Linked DNA regions of Oryctolagus cuniculus. The protein of the gene in region 1 interacts with the protein of each later gene in a pairwise test. Links are inferred from orthologs where the notes say so. Each region holds a gene or a part of one and is shown on either strand. Other genes may lie near its edges.

Region 1 (3,926 bases):
GGCTGTTTAGCACCCTCTCCACGGGGGCCCGCTTTTCTGGACAGTATTTATTACTAGACTGGCAAGCCTGACTCCTTTAGGTTTACAGGAAGTGTGCATATTTTTATAAAACAAGTGTCCTCCCCCCCCCATTTTGCTGTGTTACTGTTTGCCTCTAACGATTTGCAGCTGTTTCTGTTTCACCTTTTACTCATTTGTCTCCAAGTTGAAGGCCTTGTAGGAGGGGACAGCCTTGACAGTCTGTAATTATTGTACAAATATTTTAATAGCATATAAAGAAGTATATTCCTTTTATTTTGAAACAGATGATCAGACACTGCCTTTTGTGTGTTTGCTGCCTGTGGCAACCTTTTTTAAAAAAGACTGTTACATATGAAAATGGTGTACATATATATAAATATATAAATATTACCTCTTTGGCTGTACAGTTGTGATAGAGCAGATGGAAGATTTTATTTTTTGTGTGCTTTTTATATAAAAATTAATACACTAAAGAGAATCTTGCTGATGTGATTGTAATGTACCTATGTAACTTATTTACTTTTGAATGTTCTTCTGTATCTTTAAACCTTTCATTAAATAAGGTTTTAAAAATTCAGAGTTGGATGCTGTGTTCTTTTGGGGGATTTTCATCCTCTGAGATTGACCGAAGCGGCCCTTGCTCTGGCTTGAAGAGTACCCGAGGCAGGGATTACAGAATACTGGTGCGTTGCCAGCTGTAGGTAGGTAGGTGGCCGGCCTTTTGACTAAGTGTTAGATAAGAGGAAGTGGCCGGCGCCGCGGCTCACTAGGCTAATCCTCCGCCTAGCGGCGCCGGCACACCGGGTTCTAGTCCCGGTTGGGGCGCCGGATTCTGTCCCGGTTGCCCCTCTTCCAGGCCAGCTCTCTGCTGTGGCCAGGGAGTGCAGTGGAGGATGGCCCAGGTGCTTGGGCCCTGCACCCCATGGGAGACCAGGAAAAGCACCTGGCTCCTGGCTCCTGCCATCGGATCAGCGCGGTGCGCCGGCCGCAGCGCACCGGCCATTGGAGGGTGAACCAACGGCAAAGGAAGACCTTTCTCTCTGTCTCTCTCTCTCACTGTCCACTCTGCCTGTCAAAAAAAAAAAAAAATTAGAAAAAAAAAAAAGATAAGAGGAAGTGTCCAGTCTGTGTGTCACACAAGTGGGATACTTGGGAGCCTTCGTTTCCTCTGGATGAGATGCCGTCCACGCACCTGGCTTGATGCGCCAGTTGCATGAGCAAGTCAGCCACCACGGGTGATACCCACTAGTATCTGAAATCCGCTCCGGATTAGAAGACAGAAGCCCTCGATGCTTATTGGTATTTTTTTTTTCATTGTAAAAGTCTGGAACATCTGATGGCTGCGGTACCATGGCAACCGCTCCCCCCACCCCGCGCCGCTGCGCACGGAGTCTTCGGGAGCGCGTCGTCCGGGACACCGTTGCCATGGTCACGCGCGCGCGCCTCGCCGGCGACCTGGATCCGGTGCGGCGGCCGCGGCTCGCGGGCCGGCCCCGCCCTGCACTGCGGCGGGAACGCGCCGGCTGCCGAGCTGCGCCACAGCCGCCGCAGCCCGTCGCGCCACGCGAGCCCGGCCGGCCCCACCAGCCTTCGCCTCCCGCCTCGCTTCTGCATCCTTCCTGCGTCTTTGCTCCCCTCAGCCCTCGGTTTTCAGCGGTCCTCGCTGTCCGGAGGGGTCCCCGCGCCCGAGAAGAAGCCGCTGCTCGCCGGCTGGCCCGGCTGCCGCCGCGGTGACCTCGGACAGCCTCTCCCGCCGGGCCCGGCACGCCGAGCGCTCCTTCGGGCTGCCGCTCCTCGCCCCGCTGAGGGCCGGGCTCGGACCGCCAGCGCCGGGGCGACTCCGGGAGCGGCGGCCACGCCCCGCGGCCACACCCCGGCGCTCCCGGGCCCCGCGGCTCCCGCAGGCTGCACTCTGGGGCCGCAGACCCCGACCCGGGACGCGAGATGGCGACAGCCGCGTGACTGACTGAGCCCCTGCGAGGCCGCGCCGGGGAGCCGCAGACGGACAGCGGGGCTTGGGTGTCGCTTGTTACCAGCGACCGCGGGGACCTGCCGCCCGCGCGCCTGCTTGCGGGGAGTGTCTGGTGTTGGTTGGAGTTCGGGGAGCCGCAGTCTGATCCGTATCTGTCGAATCGGTACCTTTGATAGTTGGGAACATGGCGATGACGCTGTTGGAAGATTGGTGCAGGGGCATGGACGTGAACTCCCAGAGAGCGCTGCTGGTTTGGGGGATCCTAGTGAACTGTGATGAGGCTGAAATCGAAGAGACCCTCCAGGCTGCGATGCCCCAGGTGCCGTATCGAGTGCTTGGGAGAATGTTCTGGAGGGAAGAGAACGCGAAAGCAGCCTTATTAGAGCTCACTGGCGCTGTGGATTACGCCGCGATCCCCAGGGAGATGCCTGGCAAAGGAGGGGTGTGGAAAGTGCTTTTTAAGCCCCCCACGTCTGACGCTGAATTTTTAGAAAGGCTGCACCTCTTCCTAGCTCGGGAGGGGTGGACCGTGCAAGATGTTGCCCGCGTCCTTGGGTTTCAGAACCCGGCCCCGGCCCCGGGCCCCGAAATGCCAGCCGAGATGCTCAGCTATATTTTGGATAATGTTATTCAGCCTCTCGTGGAGTCCATATGGTACAAGAAGCTGACGCTGTTCTCGGGGAGGGACATCCCGGGGCCTGGGGAGGAGAGCTTTGACTGCTGGCTGGAGCACGCTAATGAAGTCATAGAGGAGTGGCAGGTGTCCGACACAGAAAAGAGGCGGCGGCTGATGGAGAGCCTCCGGGGCCCCGCCGCCGACGTCATCCGCATCCTCAAGACCAGCAACCCCGCGATCACCACCGGCGAGTGCCTGAAGGCGCTGGAGCAGGTGTTCGGGAGCGTGGAGAGCTCTAGGGATGCGCAGGTCAGGTTTCTGAACACGTACCAGAACCCGGGAGAGAAGTTGTCGGCTTACGTCATTCGTCTGGAGCCGCTGCTGCAGAAGGTGGTGGAGAAGGGGGCCATTGATAAAGAGAACGTGAACCAGGCCCGCCTGGAGCAGGTCATCGCCGGGGCCAACCACAGCGGGACCCTCCGAAGGCAGCTCTGGCTGACCGGCGCTGCGGAAGGGCCGGCCCCGAACCTCTTCCAGCTGCTGGTGCAGATCCGTGAGGAGGAGGCCAAGGAGGAGGAGGAGGAGGCTGAGGCCGCGCTCCTGCAGTTGGGCCTGGAGGGGCACTTCTGAGCCCCAGGAAAGAGGGCTGCCGTGCAGACCCGGCCCGCAGCTGCTGTCCTGGTCCCGAGTAGTAAAGGCCTAGCTGCCTGCTGTTTTCGTTGTGTTTTTCTTGGAGGGAGGGGGTTCTGGCCTGCCCGTTCCTGTAACTCCGCCGACACTGCACAGAGCATGGGGAGCTGCTACAATGCCGATGGGCTTGCTGGCTGCGGCGCCCGCTGTCGACATGCCGGCACCCTCGGCTGTGACAAGTGTGAACCCGTGACTCTTCCCATGGAGATAAATGTGAAGTCGCACGTGCAGATGTTTAGCCCAGGGCCTGGCTCGCAGGAACCGTGAACCATCACATTGTTATCAGCGTCGAGGCTAGTGTGTGTTGACTGTAAATCATTCCATGTTTATATTAATGGAAAGAAACGTGCATTGTTTAGGTAATACTGCTCAGCCTCACAGTGCAAATCTCTTAGTGCTCATCTTTAAAGAGCCGGATCTGTGGAACAGAGTGTTCTGAGACTCCAGCTGGGGCGCTGGAAAAGGACTGCAGTTCCGGAGCTGTGCTGATCAGAGGTCGCGCAGAGAAACCACCTGGGGAGATGGCTAGGACCCGGTGACAGTGACCCACCCATCCCCCCACTCCCCTTCCAGTCCTTGTCAAAATAGTTCTTGTTCACCCAGATTTTAAATGTTCTACATTTGAAC
Region 2 (4,060 bases), on another chromosome or scaffold:
GACTCTTTTAATTACTGAAGGTTTTTAAATGAACAAAACAGACAAAAATCCCCACCTTCAAAGTACTTACATTATTTTTAAGTTGTTGCAACTTTATGTTGACTCTTAAAATAAAACTCCTCAGGTGATAAAATCAAACTATTTGGCCCCTACCACCTTCATCCATACCTCCAAGTCATAGTTAGAGTCTAGAGGTAACATTTAGGAACCAGTGACTTTGTGTAATGTTCTAATCATTTTACAGAGCACCCATTTAGTCCCCAGAGTGATAAGAAGGTACTATTAAGATTCCTGTTACATAGGCAAGGAAAGAGAAAGAGAGATTTAGTTAAGAGGAAGACACAAGGTTAGATTTACTTTGGCTTCTTTAAAAAAATTTTTTTGACTTATTTATTTGCAAAGCAGAGAGAGACAGAGCTCTTTCATCCACTGATTCACTCACCAACTGGCCACAAGGCCGGGGGCTGGGCCAGGCTGAAGCTAGGAGTCTGGAACTCCATTCTGGTCTCCCAGGTGGCTTGCAGAGCCCCAAGTACCTGAGCCCTCAGCTGCTGCCTCCCAGGACAGGATGCATCCGCAGGAAGCCGGATCAGGAGCAGAGCAGCCTGGACACAAATACGGGACGCTGGAGCCCCACGCAACGTCCCAAGCCATGGGGCCCTTTGCTTTGACTCCTAAAGCCTTCCTATTCCAGGTGGCTCTTAGCACGTCTCAGATGACGGATGAACGAATGACCAAATGCACGGTTTTGAATTTCCATTCACTAACACCTTAAGTTATCTCCAGAAAAATCTAAGCATCTGCGGGGAGTGCAGTGAGAAGGGTGTCGGGAACTCAAGTGTTTTGTGGTGTTTTGAGTGAGTTTAGGTAGATGTTAAAGGCACACCCCACTCAGTCTCTGCTCCAGGGCCTCCGACTCCAGCTCTGCCTCTCAGAGTTAAGCTCATCAGCAGAGTGTTGAGGAGCTACCTCAGAACCCCTGGCAGCAGTATAGGCTGTCCTAAAGGTGAGGCTGACCCATAGAAGGGGTGAAACCAGCAGGAGGGGCTGCGCCCGCAAACCTCACATAGGATTCAGAAAGGTAGAGGGAACTGCTATGTGAGTTAAAACCTCCCTCAGTCTTAGTGGGGGTAAATGAACCACTCTTTTTTATTACCTCACAGCATGGCCCCAGGGTTCTATCCAGTTCTCTCAACCCTCTTCCGTTTTCCCGGGCCCTCTTTCAGCAGAGCACGTAGGCGCATGCGCAGAGAGTTCCCCAGCTTGGGGCCGCGGGAGACCGGGAGGCATCGATCGACTCGGCGCTGGGCTTCTCGACTTGTCGGCGCTCGATTGAGGAGTTTCATTGTCACTTCCGCCTTCGGCACCGTTTCCGGCTTCCGGTTGCTCGTGGGAACGGCGTAGTCCTCTGGTGAGTCGGATTCCCGTTTTCCTCGGTTTTGCGGTTCTTCACGCTGCTCAGCCCGAACAGTACGAGGCGCGAGGTGTGGTCGGGTGGCGTCTCGCCTTGGTTTTGTGGAGGGGTCGGTTTGAGACGAGGGAGCGGCCATGCAGGGGAGCTTAGCAGCGGCGCGCGTCTCTGGCGGGACTGGCGCGGTCCTTGGATCGCGGCGTGGCCCCGGGGCAGAGAGTCTGTGTCTGGAGAGGCAGGAAGCTGGCGCGTACAGAGTACGCCCGTTAATGCGAGGCGTGGGAGATTCCAGGTGGTTTCCTGCGGATCTGTTGTTTCTGTTTTGGCGGAGGGGAGAGGTGCGACACCAGGTGCCCTGCTCTGATTAGCCCAGCACCGAGCTTCTTGGTCTCTTGTTCTCCTCGCCTTCACTTTAATCTCTCTCGCTCCCTTCTCATGGTCAAAACTTGGCGACCCCCTGCTCCTCTTCCAGGTTTCGACTGGGGAAATGTCGAGTCTTTAAGAAACGTTTCTATTCATCTGCCACCTGCACAAGTACATCGGTCTATAGGCTCCTCCCTCGCTGTGTGTAAACACAGCAAGCAGTGTTTAGTACCTAATTATCTGTGGGCCATCCAGGGAAGTAAAGCAAGGTCACACTTGGCAACTTAAAAACCACGTGAAGTGTGGAAATCGTCCAGTGGGTTGCAAGGACGGAATTCCCAGGCCTTCTGATCAAGAGCTGTGTGACCTCAAGCGTGCTCCCTGACTTGTAACAGCCATGATATTAGCTCCTTTGGGGGCTTCTGATGCAAGAGCTGTGCTAGAACTTCGGGGGCTCTGGCCAGCCCCGCCCCCACCTCAGCCCCGTCTGACAGATGAAGACCTGAGAGATTAAGGTCTTTGCCAAGTCTGTTAGAGGTCATCCTGGAGTGAAGATGGCAGGTGGAAATTTATGCACAGTGATTGATAGATATGGAAGTGCTTTGTAAGTGCACCCAGGAACAAACTACATTGATGTTCTGTCTTAACGATTTGTTCTGGATTGTACACTTGGTAGTTTCTTTTTCATTTTTCTTTATGTCAAAATTTTTAAACCAGCTTACAAATACAAGTTACTTCATTAGGCAGATGGGAAGTAGCACAAGTGAAAGGAAAGTATAAAAATGTATTGAATACAATTTTATTAAACTCTGGCAAGCTGCTGTTGTTTCACTAAATTTTGAGCTTGAGAATTGTAAAAATGAGGGCTTGCGGTTTGCATCTGATGTAGCAGTTAAGATGTCTGCCCCATGTCAGAGTGCCTGGGCTTGAGTTCCGGCTCTCGCTCCTGACTCCGGCTTCCGCTAATGCAGACCTGAGAGACAGCAGTGGTGGCTCAAGTGATTGGGTTCTTGCACACACGTGGGACACCTGGATTGAGGAGCCTCTAGCTTCACTTGACCTCAGTCGAGCTGGGCCACAGCTGGGCATTTGGGACGTGAAGCAGAGCTTTGGAGCTCATTGTCTGCCTCTGGCTGTGTGTGCGTTTGCCTCTCAAACAGAAATACAGAGGAGGACTAGCTATTGCTGGAGAGAGAGTCTATGACCCAACTGACATTCTGACATAGCGATTGAAAGAAAACGGAAAAGCCAACAGCTTTCTGCTGTATTGATTTAATCACACCTGTTTGTAACAGTTTTTTTTTTTTTTTTTTATCCTCTCTTTAGGCTATTTGAACATTTTAACTCAGACATGGATATCAGACCAAATCATACAATTTATATTAATAATATGAATGACAAAATTAAAAAAGAAGGTAAGTGTTTTTAAAAATACTTATTGATAACTAAAATGTGTTTGTTTACTACCATCTTACAAAATTGTACTACACCCAAACTCATTTTTCTTACCTCCAGTAATAAATTTTTTTTTTTTTTTTTTTTTGACAGGCATAGTGGACAGTGAGAGAGAGAGAGACAGAGAGAAAGGTCTTCCTTTTGCCGTTGGTTCACCCTCCAATGGCCGCCGCGGCCGGCGCATCACGCTGATCCAATGGCAGGAGCCAGGAGCCAGGTGCTTTTCCTGGTCTCCCATGGGGTGCAGGGCCCAAGCACCTGGGCCATCCTCTACTGCACTCCCTGGCCACAGCAGAGGGCTGGCCTGGAAGAGGGGCAACCGGGACAGAATCTGGCTCCCTGACTGGGACTAGAACCCGGTGTGCCGGCGCCCCAAGGCGGAGGATTAGCCTAGTGAGCCGCGGTGCCGGCCTCCAGTAATAAATTTATAAAGTTTGTGTAAGGATTTCCAGGCTTTTTAAAAACAAAAATAGGTAGTGACTGACAACATGCTGAATCTGTTCTTACTCATAGCTACTCATATAATGGTTTCAAATAACTTTTTACGTTAGATAACCAATGGGAATAGCAATTTGTGTTTTTACTTACATATATAACTACTAACTGTATAAATAAATGGTGACAGAGCACTCAATGTACTGTCATTTAATGAAGAATTTTCTCATTCCTTCGTTCACAAGTTATTTCCCCTCTTATTTGGACAGAATTGAAGAGATCCCTGTATGCCCTATTTTCTCAGTTTGGCCATGTGGTAGATATTGTGGCTTTAAAGACCATGAAGATGAGAGGGCAGGCCTTTGTTATTTTTAAGGAACTGGGCTCATCCACAAA
Region 3 (3,991 bases), on another chromosome or scaffold:
TGCTGTCACCTCACCCGACTGCTGGTTCCAGTCCTGGCTGCTCCACTGCTAGTGCACCTGAGAGAGCGGCAGGGGATGGCTTGAATTTTTGGGCCACTGCACCCATGTGGGAGACTCGGTTGGGTTTCAGGCTTCTGGCTTCCGTCTGGCCCAACCCCAGCCATTGCAGCCATCTAGGGAATGAACCAGCAGGAGGAAGATCTCTCCCTGCCCCCCAGCCCGTCTTTCAAATAAACAAAATAAAAATAATTTAAAAACAAGAAAACAAAACCAGAAGGACCAAGCACCCTGCCCACAAGTAGAGGACAGATGGGTAGCCAGCCAGGTGCAGACGGGGCAGGGCGGAGTGAGCTGAGTGACCACGTGTGGCATGGAAAGGGCACATCCCCAAGACCTTGGACGGTCGTCTGCAGGCCCTGCACCTGCAGCTGGGCCCAGAGAGCTGGGCAGGTGGGCTGTGCAGCTGTGAGCAGGGCAAAGTGAGCTGAGCGACCACGTGTGGCATGGGAGAGGCACTGAGCCCGTCCAGGGGCATGTCCCTGAGACCTGGGACATCATCTGCAGGCCCCCAGAGAGCTGGGCAGGCGTGAGCAGGGCAGCCCGCCCCAGTGACTGGAAGGGACAGCTTCCAGGGGCCCACAGAGGCTACAAGGCTCTGGTTCCATGTGTGTGGGGTGTCTCCCGGGGGTCCCCTGAAATGGCCCTTGGGGGTGTCTATTCTTGTCAGCATGAGCTTCTCCAGCAGCCAGAGCAGCTGCCCACAAGCTCCTCTCCATGGTGGCTGCCCTGAGCCAGGTGCCCATGCTCAGGGCTCCTGGGGCCACCTCTGCACCCCAGCCTCAACATGGCCCTCGTCCTGGAGAAGCTGCCCAGCCACGGTCACCAGAGGCCGCCTCGGCTTGAGTCCTTCACTGACAGCTGTGGGTTGGCCGTGCGTGCAGCCCTGCCATCCTGGACGGCCAAGGCTGGCCTGCTTTCTGCACTAGCTTTCTCTCGCTGTTCCCTGAGTCTTGGGAGGGAGGGAGAAGCCAGACATGCTGTTTCCGCAAGCTGTGAGCAGGGCTGCTGAGGCTGCGGCTCAGGCCGTGCAGCCACAAGCGGGGCTCGGCCTGGCTGGGGGCAGCGCAGTGGTGGAGGGGCCTGAGGCTGGCGGCAGCAGGGACAGCTGCGGGCTGGTTCTTTGCCTGGGAGGTGTGAGGCTGGCATGTATGTTCTAGGCATTTTTATGTCGGTGTCTTAGAATTTAGTGCCATGCTGTTCCAGTTCAGGGTTGGCAGTCCGCTGGAAAATACCAGACCCTTGGAGAGACGCTCACGGGACACTGCTCACGCGTCGTGCAGGGAAGAGAGCAGCTGCAGGCGATGCATGCGTGTCACATGATCTCTGGTCTGTGACAGTGGCTGTGCAAGCATACACGCCCATGTACACGGCAGCCACACAGACATCAGCACACCCAGCTCGTCGCGACCGTGACCTCTGGGTGCTGGGGTCACAGGCGATTTCATTGTATTTTTCCTCTCTGCTTCCATGTCTCTGAGACAAACCGGTTGCCACGGAGACCGTGCTGTTGTCAAGGCAGCTGATTGGCCAGCGCGGGACCGAGGCTTCCTGGGAGCCCCTGAACGAGTGCGGCTGTCAGCCCGCAGTGCAGACACGCGCAGCATGGACGCGGCTGGGGCGGACGTGTGGGTGAGCACCTTCGCCCAGCTGATGAGCGAGAGGAAGCCCCGAGACGCCTGGGTCCTGCTCCCCCAGGAGAGCCTGGCCGCGGGGCCCCTGGACGGCAGCAGCTTCCAGTATCGGCTGAAGGGGCTTTCAAGGTGCGGCCAAGGGCAGGCGGGGGGGAGCCCCCTGTGGGTGAGGGGAGGCTGAAGGCGCCTTTCTAGGCTCTGAGACCGGGCCCGAGTGGCCCTGGAGTGGGTGCTGTGGGGCTGGCAGCGGGCATCCACCCCGCCTGGACTTGTCCCCCATCAGGTGGGTGGGGCCGGGCGGTGCCAGAGCTGAGACCCGACAGTGCTGACATCATGGCTGCCAGGGGGGTGGGCGCTCCCCTGGCCTGCGCTGTTCCCGTGGTGTTGCCATGGTGTCCAGGCAGGGCCTGGAATGCGCAGGTGCGGTGCTCAGGCCTGAGCAACCAGCCAGCCGGGCAGTCCTGCTTGGGGAGGCTGTGGCAGAGGGTCCCCAGGGAGCCTCATACTTCATCACCACCATGAACCTCCCCAGCGTGCATCCCTGGCTCATGGCGCCAGCCAGGGGGCAGCTCTAGCAGCTCCGTCGGCCCCTCGGCATGCTGACCGGTTGTCCTGCTCTCTGCCTCTGACCACATAGCTCCCGAGCACCGGATCTGGGGGCCAGTGTGTGGTGGAGCCCTGGCTCTTCCAGGTGCTGGGTCTGAGAAGACCGAGAAGCCCCTGCCTGGCCCCACAGCCAAGTGCTGCCATGTAGCGCATGCAGGTGGCTCTGGTCACCCAGACGACGGGGACCACGACACCCATGTCTCCAGCCAGGGCCACCAGGCACCTGTGGCTTCTGATCGCTAATCAGACTTAAGCAGAGTTAGAAGTTCAGCTCCACGTCCATGCGCTCTGTAGGCTCCTCGGCCGCGCAGGGTCTAAAGCAGTTCCATCGTCTGGAAAGTCCCATGGGCAGCGCAAAGACAGGGTCACTGAGGGCAGCAATGAGTGGCCCTTCATCTGCCCCCCCGCCCCGTCTTTTTAAAAAGTTTACTCATTTTTATTTAGATGAAGGGCAGACTGATGGGGGTGGGGAGAGACAGAACTTCTCCCATCCAATGGTTCAGCCTTCGAACGGCCACAACAGCCAGGGCTAGCCAGGCTGAACTCCATCCGGGTCTCCCACGTGGGTGGCAAGGGAAGCCAGCACCTTCGTCACCGAGGTCCATTGGCAGGAAGCTGAATCGGAAGCAGAGGCGGAGATTCCAGGTGCTCCGATACGGGATGTGGGTGTCTCAGGTAGTGGCTTAATCTGCCCACCCCAACCCAAGGACCTTGGAGGAGAGTCCATCCTGGGGGCCAGGAGCTGGGCGCTTCTTTCAGCCAGGGGTGTGGTGCCCAACTCTCCAGCTCACATATGAGGTGCACTGTTCAGAATCCAGGGGGCTTGTCCAGGGTCCCCCGAGCCTGCACTTAGCTGCAGGGGGCATCCCTCACACCAGCACCCCCTTAAATTTCCCAAATTTCTCATCACCTGGCCAGGCCCAGCCGGGAGGCCCTGAGTCGGCTCCCCCTCCTGCCCTGGCACTCAGGGAGTCCACACTGCAGACAGCAGAATGTGGGGGCGCGTGGCTCCCAGGCCTCCGGCCGGGGTGCACCCTGGTGCTGCCCTGCTGTGCGCGTGTCTGCGTCTCAGGTCTTCAAGCTGCAGGGCCTGGCCCAGAGCGAGGCAGCTCCGAGCGCTGCGGCTGCGCCGGCCGGCACCCGGCTGTTCCCGGGCTGGAGCTGCGTCCTGCCCGGCCGCGGCTCACGGCCCTCTCTCCCCGCAGGCTCCAGTGCAGCCGCTGCCTGTGGGTCTGGCGCTCGGCGCACGTGCACATCCTCTTCCACCTGTGGTGGGACGCGGGCAGCCGCCAGGGGCTGGTCAAGATGCGCGTGTGGGGCCAGCGGTGCCGGATGTGCCCCCCGGGGCCGCCGGGCCCCCGCGGCGACTGCCAGGTGAGCCCCCTCAACGTGTGGATCTTCCTCAGCAAGCTGGTGCTGCACATCCTGAGGCGGTGCTACGGCGACCACCTCAGCCAGTGCCCCGAGGTCCGCTTCGGCGACCGCTGCGAGGCCTGTGAGCTGCAGCTCTGCTTCCTGCAGACGGCGCCCGAGCTGGCCTGGGGGCCGGCGGCCAGGGCCGGGCACGCGGCCGGCTGCTGCGCCGGCGGCCACGACCCCGGCGGCCTCGCCGAGACCGACTTCCTCGACGGCGCCGCGGCGGACGGCGGCGAGTGCCCGCACGAGGGCGCCCGCGTCGTCTCGCTGCCCTTCTC

What was found.
Region 2: the proteins of PNMA1 (region 1) and SNRPB2 interact in binary tests that used the Homo sapiens proteins (3 or more experiments, as listed by UniProt). The two-hybrid records come from large-scale screens. The link is inferred for Oryctolagus cuniculus from reciprocal best matches to the Homo sapiens genes PNMA1 and SNRPB2.
Region 3: the proteins of PNMA1 (region 1) and RTP5 interact in binary tests that used the Homo sapiens proteins (3 or more experiments, as listed by UniProt). The two-hybrid records come from large-scale screens. The link is inferred for Oryctolagus cuniculus from reciprocal best matches to the Homo sapiens genes PNMA1 and RTP5.

What each region holds. Positions count from the first base shown.
Region 1 is NC_091451.1:19,888,785-19,892,710, reverse strand, and holds the start of PNMA1 (paraneoplastic antigen Ma1), read left to right. Parts: upstream 1-1,126; 5' UTR 1,127-2,177; coding exon 2,178-3,239; 3' UTR 3,240-3,926.
Region 2 is NC_091442.1:41,760,440-41,764,499, forward strand, and holds the start of SNRPB2 (U2 small nuclear ribonucleoprotein B''), read left to right. Parts: upstream 1-1,260; 5' UTR 1,261-1,411; exon of another isoform or gene 1,412-1,484; intron 1,485-3,100; 5' UTR 3,101-3,125; coding exon 3,126-3,189; intron 3,190-3,933; coding exon 3,934-4,060. UniProt on the Homo sapiens protein: Involved in pre-mRNA splicing as component of the spliceosome. Associated with sn-RNP U2, where it contributes to the binding of stem loop IV of U2 snRNA.
Region 3 is NC_091434.1:56,491-60,481, reverse strand, and holds the start of RTP5 (receptor-transporting protein 5), read left to right. Parts: upstream 1-1,191; 5' UTR 1,192-1,527; coding exon 1,528-1,820; intron 1,821-3,502; coding exon 3,503-3,991.